Xenopus tropicalis: one gene and its partners. The protein of the gene in region 2 interacts with the protein of the main gene of each other region in a pairwise test. Links are inferred from orthologs where the notes say so. Each region holds a gene or a part of one and is shown on either strand. Other genes may lie near its edges.

Region 1 (4,485 bases), on a different chromosome or scaffold from region 2:
AAGGTGTATGTGGGTGCTCCCCCATCACTACTCTTGTACAATGATGGGTACCTAGGCCCGCATAACAAAGATCCTGGGATGCGGTTAGACCCCTGGGTACACAAGGGCAATGTGGATTTATTAAATACAAAAATAATTGCAGGTCAGTCTCTATTCATTGGATTAAGCCCTCGGAAACAAGAAGCCAGTAGGTCACATAGGAAGTGCTATCAGCTACCCATCAATGTATTCGAACACTATCAAATCCATTAGATACAGGTATATACAGAGTCCAGGGGTGGCTGACAGTTGCCGTATGACTAGAAGTCTACTTGGCCATGTCAATAAGGCTCTGCAGGGAAGTGGGCACCCACGTTTTCTCTCCCTGTACGAACACAACGCCTCTGTCTATATAGATCACAATGCGGTTGAAGTTGTAAAGTTGTTTCCCCTCATGACGCTTGCCAATTAGAGGCATAAATACGATGTTGTGCTCCTCGGCCTTGGACTGGATCAGGTCCTTGAAGTTCATGGGCACAGCCGCTGCAGCCCCTATTCCTCTCTGAGCAATGCTCTCCGCGTCTCGCCGCTCCTGCATAGCCTCGTACTGGAAGTCCTTCCTTCTCTCGGTCTGCGTGAGGTAGGCGATGCTCTCCCGTGCCCCCGGCTGCATGTAGGCACCTGGAACAGGCAAGTAAGAGACAGTTGGGTCATGTACTGAATAAAGAACATAAGGCACGGCACCCACTGCACCCAAACATTGCTCATCAAACCGTAATCCAAATGCACTGTTATACTCATATAATCATACAGCATCTATTCTAGTCTCACTGCAAGTTTGTTTAGTCTATTCATAGTGGTATCGAATTGGTCTTCTATGGATATAATAATAGGCCCTCTCAGCTTTTCTTCCATTGCCTCAACCCCTCAAAGAAATACAGTCAGCTCTTCTCCCACTTAACCCCTCAAAGAAAGACCATCAGCTCTTCTTCTACAGCCTCAATCCCTCAAAGAAATAATGTTAGAGTCTGATGCATTGGGAGAAGAGCTATGAAATAATGTCAGCTCTTCTATCACTGCTTTATCCTTCACATAACATTAGATTAATCCCCTATTATCTCGTCCCTTCACTGACACAGTGGCAGATCCGTTTTTTGCCCACCAGAAGCCTACTAAACAGGAGCAGATATGAATAGGAGAATATATATTTACTTACCGACACTAGAGGACACAGCCCGGTTCATGATATCCAGAGCCTCATTAAATTTGTCCTTGATGGCCGGGTGAGCCAACACCAGGTCTGAGAACATGGACTTCCAGCCGAGATACCACTTGGTGATCTCTTCATAATTGGGGTTATTACTGAGCCAGGAGCACAGAACCTAAGAAGAAGCAGAAGGGCAATAAGGAAACACTGTATTTATCTATCCTCACAGCTGCAACACTCGCATTTCCTAATACATGGAGTTACTGCTTTATTACTGTGTGCTGACAGGAGCCATTTTCTTTTAACTCTGCTTTTGAGAAGCCTATTACCAACCACAAACACTGCAGAAAGGCTTATTTTAGGATAAGTAAACCTTAAAAATAAGTGAATGTAAAATTGATAGGGGTGCTATTCTAAGCACTTTTGCAATTTACATTCAGATGAGAAAAAGTTATCTGAGGTTTCTAATGTTTCCCTAACCAGAAGAGCATCAGATCAGCCCTCTTTCTTTCTCCTGACAACATCGTCATCATGGACGGACACTGACCAGCAGATGGCACTGTTGTAACACAATTCACCGTTGTAAAACAATGTCAACAGTACTTTGTTCTTTAATATCTTAAGAATAAAAAAATAATACATGAAAACAGCAAAGGTGCTTAGAATAGCAATCTCAGCAATTTTACATTCATTTATTTTAAAGGTTTATTTATCTTTTATGGTTTTATTATAACAGGGCATATCATTCTTCCTGTAGCTGTGCACAAACACAGACTACTTCTACTTGGGGAAACAATAATGATTCTTATAGTAAAACATTCCAAATTCAAATTCAATGCAAAGCCATTATGGTTTCCAACAATATAGTTACCTGCAGCCACTTGGGGAAGAAATGTTTCTCCAGGATCCCTACGATGCTGGACAAAGAGACCATCCCCTCCCAGTCAGTGACCCAGTGGAAGACTTCCATGTGCTGTTGGTGCGGATTAATAACAAACTCACTGAGACACATGCCTACAGGGGGAGAGAGAAGAGTCACTGGAGGTCTGTACATGAGATGAGCAACTGAACCCCCATTTTAGCAGGAGAGGGAATGCACATTGCTTGGGAGAAATCCTTGGATACCCCAAAAGTCAGCTGGTTTGTGGCCACTTTACTTTTATCATGGGTCGCTCATTTGGAGCAGTAATTTGTATCTGAGCCAATAGCCCATAGGAACAAGATGGCAGCTTTAACTTATATAGTGCAATCAGAATAATGAAAGCAAACATCTGATTAATTGCTATAGAATACTGATTGGGGGAAGCTTTACCTATATTACTACATAAATCCCAAATATTTATTTTTATTGGCTAAATTAGTAGCATAGTTCAGCTTGAAACTGTAGAAAGAGCAGGATATACGAACAGATAGGACTGGATATTCCTGTTATGAAATGTAAATAAATGAAATTGTGGATAAACACACAGATGTTCTTATTAGCGCCAGCGCACCTAGCTTTGGCAAAATGTTCTTCACCATGAAGGCTTCCCAAGAGCCTGGCGTAAACACCTCCTTCCAGGGCTGCAGGATCAGCTTGGCAGAGGAATCGCTGGGGTGCCATTTCTGGAGGGCGTTGGCAAGTTTATTCCGAATGGGAGAGAAGAGTGGCTCTAGCCGCGACTGCATCAAAGGAAGCCAGGGGTGAATCCACGAGTGGATTGGGACGGTGTCTGTCAGGGGGTTCCAGTTCTCAACCTTAATGCAGAAATGTAAAGAATGACATTAATATATAAAACCATGGGTGCCTTGGCCCAGCTCTGACTAATACAGCACTCTCATTCTCTTGTACTAAGCCCAGATGCTGAGAATACTGTGGCCCACGACATAATAATGTTTGCTCACACATATAAGTGATAACAAAGGAACTTACTTACCTCTTTTTGTAATTTGGGGAAAATAAGCTGATCTAGTATGTTATCCAGGATCCAGACTGGCAGCAAATGGACCCAGCAGTCTAAAAAGTCCACCATGGGAGCGCAGTTTCTGGGCTGCCATTGGGCAATGATACTCCTCAACAGGGGAACCCACGTCTCCCACAGCAATCTGCATTGGAACAGAGAATAACACTGAGGTTTAAACAACACATTAAAAGTTTATGATCCACAAAAAATCAATTGCATTTTGTCTCCACATTTGCTCTAGTTAACCCCTTAGTGACCGGGGGGTGCTTTATTTATGGGCAGCTTCGGAAAGCATCACAACCCAACGCCAGGTAAACAAGGAAACTGATATTTATGAAAGGAAGGGGGTGATTTATTTGGTACATTTTCATTGGGAGGATGATTTACACATAGTTTATGCCCACCTAATACTTAACTAAAGGGCTAGGGGAGTAATTGGTACCTGTGGTATGGGTCCATAGATGCATCATGTGCACTGTGAGATAGGAGGTGACCTTCCTCTAGAAGGTTCTTCCACTTACTCATGACATCAGTCCCATAAGTAGGATCCTAGGCAGGAAGAGAGAGAGCAATTAGAAACTGGGGCAAGGATAGGCCCAGGGCACATATGTTAAAGGTAATAGGATGATCTTGCTTTGGAATAACATCAGTAATGCCCCAGCCCCTTAAGTGTCAGCAGCCCATCAACACACCATCTCCTGCTGTGCTATATGTCATATAATAGGCACAATAGGGGAGGAACTTCCCAGTTTTTACTGCCCCCTTAAGCGAATTGACACTTATCCTGAATCCCGACCCAAAAACTCCTCAAAGCATACCTCCCACCTGTCCCGATTTTCAAGGGAAAGTGCCGATTTTAACAGCTCAGCCCACAGTCTCGGATTCTTATTGAAAAGTCCCTCATTTCCCTTTGATCTCCTGCACCGAACACCAAAAAAGATACAGTTTCTTAAACTAAATTAGAAAAGTAGCTTTTGGCAGAGCCCAGAATACTCACCCCATGCACTGAAATACAATTGTAACTAAGAAGCTAAAAAGGTCTTTTGGGGGAACTGAGACTTGCAGCTTAAGGGGCAATTTCACCTTTATTAGCAAAACTGTAGTTACATAAAACAAGACCCCCAAACCCCCCCCAGAAATATGTTTAAACTTTACACAACCTGTCAAATTTTGTAAAATGGAAGTGGTATTTACAGGTATGTCAAAGGGACACAGTGTAACCGTTCTCCTTGGGTAATTCTAACAAAGCAGGTGAGTTGTGTAAGACCTTTATAACTTACCCTAAGTGGGTTCCAGTCTTTGAAATAATCTTTCATCAGTGGGTAGACAATGGCCACAGAAAGGTCTGCCTTCTCA
Region 2 (4,485 bases):
AATCTTTCTGAAGCAAATGCACAAATGTTACCAGTACAGGGCAGCTTTACATAATTACTGTAAAACACTTTCATTTTTGGGGGGTTACTGTTCCTTTAAAAAAATATTTTCGTATTTGTAGTATTTTTGCAGCATAAATGTTAAGTCATGGCACTATTTATTAGCGGACTGTTGAAATTTCAATCTATATAAGTCTTTCTTTAACTTAAACAGTAAAAACAACAGATTCCCTTTTACAGAAAAGCAAAAATGCCGTTTGTTCTTCAGCATCATAAGGACCATTTTGAGGTTAAATTATATGTAAAATTAAGTACAGAAAGAACATATAGCATTACATAATAAGTGTTAGCTATTTTAGTTATTTACATCAGGTGTGATATGACTTCCCATATTTATGTAAGCCAATTTCCCTTCATAAGGAGGCCGTAGTCTTCCTGCATTGCCATGGACTCTCTGATTCCCTGTATGGTAAAAACTGTATGTGGTGCAGTGGAATGCATGTGCCCCTTTGTTTGTTATAATGCTCTGCAAAATATGGAATTTGCTAATGTATTTAGGTATTTGCATTTACAGACTAGGCTCTTACTTCACAGAAAATCCACTGTCCAAATTATGGCTTTCAGTCTTTGGGCTGGATGGGACCTCATCCTCAGGGTGAGATTCATTCGGCCAGGGATCAGTGACTTGTAACTGCGGAGACTGAGGGAAGCACAGCAAGGACTTCATCAAAGCAGAGGAGACCTGGTTGCTGATGGAATAGATCTTGCTACAGTTTTCATTTATCTTCAGTGCATCAGAGGGTGTGGAGGCACTCAACGGGAAGCTCCTAGATCTTTGGCTCGGTGTCTTGTATGGAATCGGTTCATTGAACTCGGAAGAGAGAAACTGGGGTTCGTTACTAGTACTGCTGCTCCTTCGCATGCCCTGGAAACTGGATTTTTGTGGTGACTGAGACAGTTCTGGTTCTTCTTTTTCAGGAGACTTTGGAATAGCCACATGGGGCTGTATAACTTCAGGAACCTGAATTTCAGCTGTGCTCATGGTAACATTGTTCAAACAGACTGTTACACTTTCTACTTCTTGTTTGTTAAAGGGCTTGTCATTTGGTGCTGAAGATGTAACATTCCCCCTGTCGCTTATTTTCCCAGCTGGCGATGGTGTGCTAAATGTTTCAAAGGAATTTATCTTTTGTTTAATTGATGATGTTCGACTTGAAGTTTGTGGTTTAATGTTGTTTTGAATCTCTTTGTATTTAGCTAGAGATGTGCTCTCAGTTGGCTTTTTATCTACATTCTTATACCCCTTCAGACTCTGCCGATACCAGGCTGGCTTGGGAGCAACTGGTGGACCCTTTTTGAAGGTATCCTGAGGGCTGCACATCTGAGAGTCCTCACATGGAGAATCTCTTCTGAGTCTCTCTGTATTGCCACCTGCTGCACTGATACTACTTTCTAGATCCATTAGGTTGTGGCCTTCGTTTATGAGGGGACTGAACAAGTTTTTGATGCAGTCAGAAATTCTGACCCACGGATCTTCACTTGTTGTGTCAAAGCTGTAGTCAACACGTGCTTGTCTTCTTAGCAGCGGTCGGTGGTTTGATACAGGATTTCCTACGGAACACAAAGGACAATAGATTTATTATAATTACATCTGTCTACCTAATCTCCTGGGGATCTGGATAGGGCCATTAATGTTTGAAACAACAGCTATGCTTTGCTTTAGCCAATAATGTGCTGCTGTAATAAGTTCTGTACACTGTGTTATCTCCCCAATCAGTGCTAACTTGTATGCACTTAATAGGCAGTGTTTGTTGTTCTCAAAACATTTTCTGTAAATGTAATTTTAAGCACACTCCATGTCACCATCCTTGGGACAAGCTTGTACGTGTTTCTAAAAAATTGTGGCTTGGGTTTCTATAGGTTGGCCATTAACCATATGAGCCAGAGGAAGATTTGTAGCATTCACAAATCCTAAGGCAGTGCTGTCCAACTTAGTACATGTCATGGGCCAGTTATACCTCATACAGCATGGTGGGGGGCCAGATATATTTAAAATGTCCTATGGAGACTCTGAGCAGACTCCAAATCTTTTGGGTGCCACAGGCCTCCAATTGGACATCCCCATGTAATAGGATTGGGTTAATATGCTGAAATTAAGACATGAAATAGCTTGTAAATGGTTGGTGATTTCAGTCAAGTTCAGCCATTTCTCTGTAGGGCATATGCATTATGTTAGGTGCAAAATTGCAAAAACCCTATCATGCAGTTGTTTGCATTTAATCTTAATCAAAAGGGATTCTGGGAATTTGTTCCCAGAATCCTTTTTGTCTATTTGCTTATGTATGAGGCGGTCTCCTAAACCCCTTTGACTTGTCATTTAATCTTATAAATGAATACCAAGCAGTTTAGGTAAACCATACAGAATGCTAGGGGCAGTTGGAACATTTTGCATTTCTTTGGTATATAAGGGCCAAACTGTCCTCCAATAAATGAACTATTTTTCCATTCCGAAAATGCAGACAAAGCCTGGAATATCACGGGCCCACAGTCTGTATTTTAATTTGAATCCCATGCTAAAATCTTACTAATGTGATTAAATGTTAAGTTTTACATTTATCATCCCTATATGTATTATGAGAAGTTCTGTAATTGGTGCGGCCAAAAACACAGCTTTAGTCAACTGGGGTTTGGACTGCTACATAGGGTTCCATATTACCTATAGTATATTGTTTCAAACTGCATACACCCTCGATTTCCTTAGTAAAACTTTTTCCTGCATCTAAAACTCTTCCATTTATTCAGTCAGTAACGGCTATAGCTAATATTAAAAGGTAATTACAATTTGTTACAGGGTTTGTAAGACACCTTCATCTCTTTGCCTGTGCCAACATTGGTGGCCAAATTAGGTAAAGATCTGCTCATTTGGTCACCTTTCTAAACAAGCGGATCTTACCATATATAGACAACCTCATTTACTTACTAACATAGGAAGTCAATAACACCAGTGCAGTTACCCATAGTAACCTATTAAATCTTTGCTTTCATTTTATAGCTTGTAGCAAAGAGATCAAAACTAGACACTGATTGTTTCTATAGGTAACTGCATTAGCGCAGTTTATGACCTTTCTTGGTATTCTGCATGAGAGGGCTTAAGCTCCAATCTTAACTCTCACTGTGTTGGCTGACTTTACTAATCACTTTCTTATTGGCTGTTTGTAGGCTTGCAGGAGCTGCATTAATGCAACCTTACACCAATTGTTATACCCCACTGCATAGAAACAGATTGCATTGTAAATCAAGGCACCTAATGCAAAATGTGGGACTTGCCTCCTCCGTGCCACTCGAAAATTTCTAATCATCACCACTTTTATAATCTCACCCTCTCCTGTCTACCCATAAACCCCCATGGCCAACATATGGGATTACATATTGTTTCACTTATGCTGTTCTTTGCCCTTTCATACTTATTGATGAAATTTGCTCATGGGAAGAGTGGTCATGACATTTAAATCTCTGTAGTGATGCCCCTGAAAGCAGAAAGGAAATCTTTTATGCAGACCTAGTTAATACCCCTTCATAGTTCTTAAAAAAATCCATAAATGATTTGGGGAGAAATGCAAAGTTTTTGCAAACCAAACAGAAGTGTAACAACAAAGGAAGCAGACAGTGACCCTGCAGTTGCAGGGGGTCCCAGGAGCATAGAGGGCCCAGTAAGGCCCTAATTAAAGAGCAATTCCAATATCGGTATATCTTGGTACATTAGGCCAAGTTTTGGGGCCCCAAACTGAATTTAATGTTGGGCCCCAGAAACATCTAGATATGCCACTGGCTCCTAAAAACATGAACTAGTACAAGTACAATTAATTGAAACTATTTAGAAAAGAATGTGAATCATTTGATTGGCTTTTTATTTTTTTTTTCTTTTAAAGTACTACATGGATCCATTAACATGTAAATGTATTACATGTGCATTTAATCTCTATTAAATAGACAGAAATATGCATGTGACTTATTGTGGGTGCAAAGCAGAACATTCATTCTCTATATAGTGACATTTATACGAGTTAAGTAGGTTTCCTAATGCATATGTATCCCGGTTTAATAGCTTTTTTCTCACTCCTTGGTTGAGGGTGACATCTTTTTTATGCATTTAGTGGGCAAATGGTTCAGTTTATGTATGCAGAGCTCTCTGGTGCACAGTGGGTTAATGAAGCATGCATAATGGTAGCTCCCAACCTTTGGCTGTCAGTGGAATTCTGTAAGCTGCAGTTTCACTTGCAGGCTGTACATCTCTGATTTATATAATGAACATATCTAAAACAAAGTTTAAAAAAAAATGTCATTATTTCCTTTTATTTCTTCATCCTTTCCCCTGTTATGGGAAGGCAATTGCCCTTTCTTTCCTACACTAAACCCAGTGCTGAGTTCTGGACAGCTTTCACAAAGGACTCCCAAAGACATACCTGTGTCGGAGTGCTTATCTGGC
Region 3 (5,178 bases), about 1.7 Mb from region 2:
AAGGCAGGGTTATGATGCAGCGGTCGGCAATCTCAGGGAGTCCTGCACAGTTTTCCTAATTTGGAAAATGGGGCAGGGGATTTTGAAAGGGACAAGCCGTTCTGAAAACTGGGCTTGTCTGGGTCAAAACCAGACAGGTAGCAACCCTACTCGGGGTCAGTCTGGGCCAACGGGATGCCGGGAAAAAACACCTGCCACCCTGACCCAATCCCCGCTGGGTGCAACCCTCCCCTGACGCTCTGAAGGTAAGTTTAATTTAGGCAAGCTCAGGGGAAACGGTCAGGTTGACGGCCCTGCGGGGGGCTGTGGATGCCACGGTGGTGGCACCTTCAGGGGTGCTTCTCAGATGCCTGTGTCAGTTACTGAGCACCCAAAGTACCATGGACTCTTAACTAAACTTTATGTAATAGCATTACAAGCTCTCATTCTCTGTAAAGTGCTGCAGAACCTGTAAGCTAAGGTAATGATCATGTGAAAAAAAAATCAAGAAAATTCAGCAAAAAGAGCATTAACGTGCAGCCCTGCAACATGCATTTCTTAAAGGAAAAAGAAAGGTAAAGTCACTTGGGGGTGCCAAAATGTTAGGCACCCCCAAGTGACTTTAACCGCCTACCTTTTACCCCGGGCTGGTGCCCCTGTTAGGAGAAAATAGCACCAGCCCGGGGTACCTGGAGTGCAGCACTTCCTCCTTCCGCCTTCCACTTCCTAAACTGCCGGTGGCCGGGCATGCACAGTAGAGCGAAAAAGCCGACTTAAATGTTTAAGTTCGGCTTTTCACTCTACTGCGCATGCGCGCGCAGCGAAGCCGGAAGGAGGAAGCGCCGGCAGCTACCCCGGGCTGGTGCTATTTTCTCCTAACAGGGGCACCAGCCCGGGGTACAAGGTAAGCGGTTAAAGTCACTTGGGGGTGCCTAACATTTTGGCACCCCCAAGTGACTTTGCCTTTCCTTCCCCTTTAAGTGCCCTTAAATTTTTTTTTTGCGATGGAGCAGCATTAAATGATGTGCCAAAAGATAGTGAATAGGTATCGCATGAACCGTCTTTACTTATTGCACAGGCTCTATTTATATCGTTCAAGTTTGAGCCACACATCTTTCTACCGTACAGCACTGGGGGAGATGTATACAAGTGAGAATTGCTGCCTAGTTAATACATGCTGAGCAATAAAACAAAAAAAAAAACAATTGAAACGTAGCATCTGGTGTTTGTGTAAACGCATTCAGTTAAACGAGCAAAACAAAAAAGTCGGAAAGCCACAAACAACCGTGCCACTTGGCACACAGAATGCTAATAACGGAACCGGCAGCTTATTCCGGAGACAACCCACAGTTCCACAAAACGCCACTAGTTCGATTCCATTCCACGCATGCGCTACTTCGCTGCGTCCTCGCCTCGTCTTGTGTATCCCTCCGCCAGAACCTACTTTCCTTCCTGTAACCAGCAAAATGATTATAAACAAATATGTTTAATAAACTGAGAATACAGTTCAATCAGAGTAACATTTAGGCATTAAAATAACTTATTTACAATTAAACACAACGGCATAGTCAGTCGCGCCACCTTCCCTAACATGAAATCAAGGCAATGCGCGCACACAAAATATAGTGCACCTCCGCGCTAAACGCGGGGACTTTTGTGCGGGGATTTTCGGCGCCGATGAGAAGGCGATTGAAGTAAAACCGGCTTGGTTTGAAAGGAAAGCTCCCCAGCAGAGGAGAGCAGGGCAGCCGAGACGGTACCAATACGACGGGCACGGTAAGCTTAGGCAGCGCTGGGAGACGTTTCTGTCAGGTTACCGAATCTTTTCCAGGTCAGTCTTGGGTGTCGGGCCCTACCGGATGTGGAAGTTGATCTCTTCTGTGGTAAAAAATAATTCAACTTCCCCCGGAACCCAGATCATCCGAACGATTTCCTGTTTATTGCGTTAAAGCCGGCGGGTTTCCGGGGATCCGGGGCTGTGCCAGGGGCTTCCCGGGTTCTGGGGGTTCTAGAAGCGAAGGGAACTGTAAAGGCGGGAAGGGCTGATGCCTGGCTATGCACAGGCGCTTCAGAAGGCCGCGGTTCCGAGAGGCGGGAAATGTAACCCGCCAAGCATTTCTCTGACTAAAGGACATATTTTGCTTATTACTAATAAATTGTGTTGTTGCTCGTTGACATGTTATTAATGAGGTCTGAAGTATTTTGTTCCCTCGCACATCGGCCTGGGATTGTGCTCGCAGCGCTTTACACGAGGCTCAGGCTGGCCAACGGGGGTTTTATTCTTATATTTGTGCAGTCTGCATCCTTTACTTGCTGCTATACTACATCTCCCGGCACACACAGCGACAGCAAATCATAGATTAGAAAGTAAGCTGCAGGCTTGCAGAAATAATTACATTCATGCACTAATATGTCCTCCGCGGGTGGCACTTACAGTGGGGAGCTGCTCATTGGCGGGCATGTTTGGTTTGGAATCAGTTTAAGGCCTAGGCTATACACATGCTTAATAACCCTAGAAACATGCCACGCTTGCTTTATTATTCATTCAAAGTTCTTGTCACTGAACATGTTATGCGCATTTTGTACGTGTAATGTCACCCAGTTTTATTCCAGCGTTCTGTTCTTTTATTAAATGACACCACTATTGCCACTGTCAAGATGATCGGTTTTGCAGTATTGTTAAGCAGGAGCTGCGAGTTTGGAGCTTCTATGTGATTGCAGAGCTGTCCTTAGGGACTGTGCCAGCAGGGGGCGCTGCATGAGGAGCCTCACAGGCATCTGTATGCAAGGAACATGTATAGAAGTTTTATACTGGAACTATCATTAAGCTTGCCTTTGTAAGCAGTAGGGATGATAGGCATAGCCGCTAGAATAGTTAGGGGGGAAAGCAACAGTCAGCAGGAATGTCTCACTCTGAGCTTAACTCATTTTTTTTTAACTACAGGACCATGGTTTTAGCTCAGCAACTGCTAAAAGACTTCATTTGTGATAGTCTTGCTTTATATAAATAGTGGGGCTCTGAGTACCGCCACAACCAAGGATATTCTGGTGAGCTATGGGTCTCTTCCACCAATTGCTGTTTGTCCCTGGCAAAGTTTAGCTGCCTAAGTTCAGAAATAGGAGGCACTGCTTTGCACCATATTGACCTGTTCATTACATCACTGGCAGCATTTCTTGAATTGTCAGTCGCATCTGGGTTTGCACCCCTTAGAGCAGGGGTCCCCAACCTTTCTACTCGAGAGCCACAGTCAAATGTAAAAAGACTTGGAGAGCAACACAAGCATCATAAAAGTAAATTGAGGCGCCAAATAAGGGCTAAGATTGGCTATTAGGCAGCCTCTATGTACACTATCAGCTTACAGGGGACTTTATTTTGTAGTAAATCTTGTTTATATTTAACCTAAACTTGTCACCAAGTCAGGAATTCAAAAATAACTACCTGGTTTGGGGGCACTGAGAGCAACATCCAAGGGGTTGGTGAGCAACATGTTGCCAACATGTGAGCCACTGGTTGGGGATTACTGCCTTAGAGTTAATTTATATTCTGCTGTTTACTAAATAGTGCAACTGGAGAGGGCCCTTTTATCTATCTATTTGTATGTGTTCCTTATTTAATACTTCTATGTGTAGTTACCACTTTATAATTGCACTAGAGTAGTAATGCAGGAAAGCTGGAAAATCTGCTTTTATAAATGTCTGTCTGGAATCTCTGTAAAACATCTGAGCTTTTATCAGCGAAGAAGGAAGTTTGTAAGCCACATGTCAGAAAAAAACTGATTTACTCAGCAGTTCTCAAAAGGTAAAGTTTTAGAGGCTTAGATATCTTGGCATGCAGACCACGTGATGTGGATGTTTATTCTAAGTGGCATTGTAAATGTATGTTCAGTGCAATAAATACTGTGACTGACAGTGCTTCAGCTCTGAATTTTCTATGTTCAGAATATTTATACAAAGTATAGTAATGTTTCTAAAGCAAACGCATACCCATATTACGGTTATCCCCCTCCCCATTGAAAATGCATAAAACCCCTTTGTTACTGGCAGCGTTGGGCTGAGCTCAGAGTGTGGTTGGTGTATGGCTATCACACTTCAAATAAATGGGCCTGCTGGGTTGATGTCTCTATTTATCAGAACAGGCCTTTTATTGTAGATTTAAAAATTTTTTTTTTTTTTTTTTTAAGCAGAAGTCCTGGCTTTGTTTGCATTGAGTTTGCTATTATCTCTGATATGTTCAGCTGTGTTTTATATGTTATGTAAATAAAGCTCCACCTGGTCTGTTGTTTTTAATAAAACTTTATATACTACATTTTCATTATCACTAGAGATGCACCAAATTCACTATTTTTCGGTTTAGCCAAACCCTGAATCCTTAGTAAAAGATTCAGCTAAATACTGAGCTGAATCTTAATTTGTATATGTCAGTTTGGCTACTGAAGGTTTAAATAGCAGTTAAATAGAAAATCTTGTAACTTCCTTGTTCACTTGACCAAAAGTTATGTGATTTTAACGATTCAGATTCAGTTTGGCCAGGCACTTGGATCTGAATCCCGCCGAAAAAGGGAGAATCTTGGTCAAATCGCCAACTTAATACTAGATTTGGTGCATCCCCAAGCTTCAAATTCAACACATAATACTATAAAAAAAACCACTGTAAAAATACAGCAACATGTACAGTACTGTATATACAAATAGATCCATATAACTAAAGTTACACATACATGCAAACACAAGTCCATACATTTTTCCCTCTGTAGAAATATCTACAGTGACCTCTGGTGGTAATTTTATTCAACTATCCATTTTTATTTTGTTGCTGTTGGACGATTTCTTCTCATCAGCCATAGTTTTAAAAAGTCATGTTTGAGCCACATGTTTAAATATATTGCAGGGGGTTGGCATTACTGGTCTTTAGCATAGTCTTGGAGCACATAATGTTATGGGATTCATGGACAAAATGTTACTAACATTAGGGCAACAGTACAACCCGAAGAATTTAAAATGATTTTATGCATATAATGCAAATGGAAGCTCCAGCTGCAGATTGCTTCCCCTGCTGATATGAAGCAACCAACAACCTCCTCTGCATCCCACTAATTACAATGGAATGTGTTCCAGGGCAGGTAGCCTGCATTTTAAATGCTCTGTGTGCCACTGCTTTAAAACTGGGCTGGGGCTTTTTTTTTTTCTTCCATTGCTCTC
Region 4 (4,485 bases), on a different chromosome or scaffold from region 2:
ATCTGGTCTACAAATTCCCAGTAAGAAAAATGGCACGAGGAGCACTAGCAATCACTAGCAGTCACACGGCCCTGGTACTCATACAAAATGGCAAATCCCACTTCCGAGCATGAATACAAACACAAATATAAAAAAAATGTGCCAGCACAATGTTAAATGTGACGATAAAAACCTGTATTTTCATATTTTATTGCCTACCAATGGAAAATAAAACTCCACGTACAACTAGTTGTCTAGGGGCAACCGCCAGTGACTAAAATGATGCTGCTGCATTTAGTCTAAGCTGCACATCACATATTTTATCCCCTCTGGAGCCCCTCTACCTCAGGTACAATGGTACCTTGAGACAGGTCTTCAATGGCACGACGTATTCCTCTATCAAAAGCTCGGGCATCGGCGGGACTTTGGAACGTAAGGCCGAACTTCTTGTCTCCGATCCTCCAGTGATGGAATGTAGGGGTAACTTTATTGTAGACAAGATCCCTCCTGAGCACACATTCCAGGACCACCTGTGGAAAGAAGAGATGTCACAGACCTGTAATCAACACGGAAACATCTGACTTGTGTTAAACCTGCCCAGGCCCTGTAATAACCATGGTCACAACCCAGGAACATCTGGAATGTTCTTACAGTTTATTCTTTGAACTACAGGAAAAAAATAATTAGGGGGGAAAAAAGCAAATCCCAGCTGCCATGTCACAGACCAACTGGAATGAAGCACTGAAGCATATGTGGAACAATGGCTCACGCGCTGCAATGGCTAACGGATCATTTATATCTTAGCAGAATCTATTATACACTATACAACAGACTGCGACAATTTTTGCAGGGATGATATCACACAAAAAGACAAATTCCATCAGGATTCTAAGATTTATTTATCTGAAGGCTGAACCTTTGCTGTGATGGGCCATGGGCCACAGAGAGACAGGAATATGTACATTAGGGTGCAAATTTGGTACATCCCCATATGTAGCCTGGGTCTATGCAAAATTTATACTACGCTACCAAGAAATGCTGCACATTGCTGCAGGCCAGGCATCCCTACTACACATTAACAACGGAGGGGGGGAGTAATTTTTAGTAAAACCTACTAATGGACAAATTCGACCTATCCAAAATATGATCCAATAGAATAAGCCTCAGTGAGGGTTTTAACCAGTGAATATTTGATATGATCACTATGAAGCTAAAACCACAGATGGATAATGACCCACCCCATTAAATACTGTATGGGCTGACTGGCCAGGAGGTTGAAATCTGACTGGATACTGGTGGCCCAAAAGGGATGCCTGACAAACTGCTTTCTGTTTCAGCTTTGTTGGGTAATGTTTGCTGAGATGTATGCAGAGAGTCAGCACTACGTATTGTGCCAGTTTATGGTTTACACAATTATATGCTTCATGAAATAATGCGGGTCTTAACTACACAGGCCGCATTTTCATCCACCATCCAGTAAATAGCTAATATACGGCAAATACTCTGTATTTGTCTTCATGCTTGTCTAAAAATGTCTAAAATAAATGAATGTTCTCTTAACTGAGGGTGTTTTATAAATTTGCTTTGACATTTTCATGCCTGCTTAACTAGAATTTGCCTTTAAGGTGTGTTAGAAAATATGCACTACAACAAACAAAACAACCCTGCACATATGCTACAATGCACTGCTTAGTTGTGTGAGTCAGAACACAAACACTTCCCTGTACAGTATTGTGCACCCCTGGAATTCTAGCCCATTTTATGTCCAGGCCTCGTGTATCGCTATGATTACATTTCCCATAGGAAGTCTGCTTGGAAAAAGACCAGATGTGAGCAGCTGGAGAAAGAATGCAGAACACAAGGTACAATATGGCGGAATGTGTGTCTGTGCAGTGTGGGCCACATGAAATACACATCACACTCACTGGGTCTCAGGAGGGAACAGAGGAAACAGAAGAATTTCTAAAATGTGCAAGGGTTCTTGAGTTTTTAGGGATTTACAGACGGACCTGTATCTTAAAGGGAAACAAATCAATCAGAGGAGCACATACACATGATGACACGTGAACACTTGCACAACAAAAGCACTTAGAGACCAACACACAACACTACACTTATTATACAGGTGTATAGTAAAATGGCCATACAGTGAGAGCCACTGGCTTGGCAAACTAAATGATATTTCAAAATACACTTACTGAGCAGGCAACCCACATTTTCTATCAGCACACTTCATGGCTGTTGTCTAAATATGCACCGCATTCTGCAAATGGGATTAAAAAAAATCTGCACTCTGAGTCAGGAGGCAGATTTAGTAAGGCTGATGCCATGCGGTGTTTTTGCCTGCAACTGGAACCACTGAATCTGCCCGATTGCAGGCACGTGCAATAGATATTGGCTCTGAATACAAACACTTGAGTTTCTTTGCCAACATCTGCCACGTGTGCCTGCACTAGGGCCAACACAATGGATCTGGATGCAGGCTTTTCCGCAGGGCAAGAATCAGCCCTGTGCTGCATCAGCTTAAGTATTAACTTCTTTGTGAGACTTACTATTATTTGTCAAAATGGTTTCCTATGGGAAAATAAAATTTTGGTGTGTGAAAAAAACAGGAAGAAAAAATTTGGATGCAAGTGAAAAATTGGACCTTTAGCATATCTGCCCCGTAGGCCTAGGGCACACACAGCATATAAGGTTGATCAGCTCTCATTCTGCCCCGTGTACAGTATGATAGTGATTCGCCCAGCTTTTATGCTGGTGGACAAAAAACGCAGTATCTGCCATAGGCCTTAGAACGTCGGCCACCATAACACCCAATAGGGTTGATTGACTAAAGTGCGATAAACGTTATCACATGCTTTTTTGCGCTAAAATTGCCGCAAAAAACCCCCCCGCGTGATTCGCTAAAGTATTATCGCATGCATTAAGTTGCATATCGCGTGCGTTAAATAGCGTGCAGCCGAATGTGTTAATTTTAATGCATTGCGTTAATTCTTGCGCAGAAATAATACTAACGCATGATTCACAAACACTTAGACGCGCTAAATATCGCATTAGTCTGTGCACAAATTAACACCTACTTGAGGCAGGAGGTAATTATAGAAAAGTACAGTTCATGAGCTTTTGGCAACACAATATGGACTTTGCAGTGGGATTTATTCAAGTCTGTGTTGGCCCTAGAGTGATGCAGCCGCCAGTTTGCAGGGAAATGGTCATTTTCAGAACAGTAGTTTTCCGAACGTAATGGTGTGTATGGCTAATAGCGTGCTGCGTTAATTAGCGCACGTTGCGTCAAATACCGCACGATAATAGTCTTCGCAACTTAAATAACGCAAACAGCATTGCATCTAAATTAACGCAAGTAACCTTTTAGTGAATCGTGCGTTAAGACGCGAAAAATAAGACGCAATAAACTTTTTAAAGAAAGCTATAAATAGCGCTCGTTTTATCGCACTTTAGTGAATCAACCCTAATGCCTCTCCTTGCTGCCTGTCATCTACATAAATAGAAACTACCTGTCACTTTATTACATTTGGGCTTAGACAATTAAAATAATCATCTGATTGTTTTACTTTCCCAGTCACTGTTCAAGATAGGCAGATTAGTGGATTAATAGAGATTGTTACAAAGAACGCACTTTCTTGTAGATTTCACTCCCCTTAAAGGAACAGTAACACCAAAAAAGAAATGTGTTTTAAAGTAATTAAAATATAATGAACTGCTGCCCTGCACTGGTAACACTGGTCTGTTTCTTTCAGAAACTCAATGGGGGGAGCCATTTTAAGGTGCCCATACACTATAAGATCCGCTCGCTTGGCGATGTCGCCATGCGAGCGGATCTTCACCCGATATCCCCACCTACGGGTGGGCGATATCAGGTAGCAAGGGACTTTTGAGCTTATGGGGCAGTCGGTTCGGGGACCGCATCAACGAGCCGATGCGGTCCCCGATCCGACCGGATTTTCTAACCTGGCCGATCAAGATCTGGCCAATTTCAGGCCAGATATCGGTCGGCCAGGCAGCTCTGTTCTGCCCATACATGGGCCGATTAGCTGCCGAATCGGTCCAAGGGACCGATATCGGCAGCTATAGTCGGCCCGTGTATGGGGACCTTAAGTTGGAAAAATGAGAAAAGGCACAGGTTACATAGATAACAGATAAGCTCTGTAGAATACCATGGTGTTTTATCTGTTATCTGCTATGTCAACTGTGCCTTTTCTCATTTTTTCCAGCTTAAATTGCTGCCCCCATGGCTACACAGCAGCTTATTATATAAACTATAGTGGTTTCTGTAGCAAGTGCAGGGCAACAGTACATTATATTTTAATTACTTTGATACATTTTTATTTCTTGGCATTACTGTTCCTTTAACTCTCTTATAAGCTAACCCCACATAAATACAACAGTGCGCACAGCCCTCAACTCTGTGTATCCAGTAGGAGCATCCTGTACAGATCCTATTACCTTAGATGACTTTGTGCCATCAGCGAACGCTGATACACTGCT

The links.
Region 1: the proteins of il16 (region 2) and tfip11 interact in binary tests that used the Homo sapiens proteins (3 or more experiments, as listed by UniProt). The two-hybrid records come from large-scale screens. The link is inferred for Xenopus tropicalis from reciprocal best matches to the Homo sapiens genes IL16 and TFIP11.
Region 3: the proteins of il16 (region 2) and gabpb1 interact in binary tests that used the Homo sapiens proteins (3 or more experiments, as listed by UniProt). The two-hybrid records come from large-scale screens. The link is inferred for Xenopus tropicalis from reciprocal best matches to the Homo sapiens genes IL16 and GABPB1.
Region 4: the proteins of il16 (region 2) and spred1 interact in binary tests that used the Homo sapiens proteins (3 or more experiments, as listed by UniProt). The link is inferred for Xenopus tropicalis from reciprocal best matches to the Homo sapiens genes IL16 and SPRED1.

Annotation. Positions count from the first base shown.
Region 1 is NC_030680.2:15,115,072-15,119,556, reverse strand, and holds part of tfip11 (tuftelin-interacting protein 11), read right to left. Parts: coding exon 4,410-4,485; intron 3,679-4,409; coding exon 3,572-3,678; intron 3,272-3,571; coding exon 3,103-3,271; intron 2,924-3,102; coding exon 2,680-2,923; intron 2,201-2,679; coding exon 2,058-2,200; intron 1,362-2,057; coding exon 1,196-1,361; intron 661-1,195; coding exon 308-660; 3' UTR 1-307. UniProt on the Homo sapiens protein: Involved in pre-mRNA splicing, specifically in spliceosome disassembly during late-stage splicing events. Intron turnover seems to proceed through reactions in two lariat-intron associated complexes termed Intron Large (IL) and Intron Small (IS).
Region 2 is NC_030679.2:106,706,071-106,710,555, forward strand, and holds part of il16 (pro-interleukin-16), read right to left. Parts: coding exon 4,463-4,485; intron 1,611-4,462; coding exon 587-1,610; intron 1-586. UniProt on the Homo sapiens protein: Interleukin-16 stimulates a migratory response in CD4+ lymphocytes, monocytes, and eosinophils. Primes CD4+ T-cells for IL-2 and IL-15 responsiveness. Also induces T-lymphocyte expression of interleukin 2 receptor. Ligand for CD4.
Region 3 is NC_030679.2:104,957,768-104,962,945, forward strand, and holds the start of gabpb1 (GA-binding protein subunit beta-1), read left to right. Parts: upstream 1-1,624; 5' UTR 1,625-1,755; intron 1,756-1,796; exon of another isoform or gene 1,797-2,856; intron 2,857-3,456; exon of another isoform or gene 3,457-3,778; intron 3,779-5,178.
Region 4 is NC_030684.2:110,799,740-110,804,224, forward strand, and holds part of spred1 (sprouty-related, EVH1 domain-containing protein 1), read right to left. Parts: intron 510-4,485; coding exon 341-509; intron 1-340. UniProt on the Homo sapiens protein: Tyrosine kinase substrate that inhibits growth-factor-mediated activation of MAP kinase. Negatively regulates hematopoiesis of bone marrow.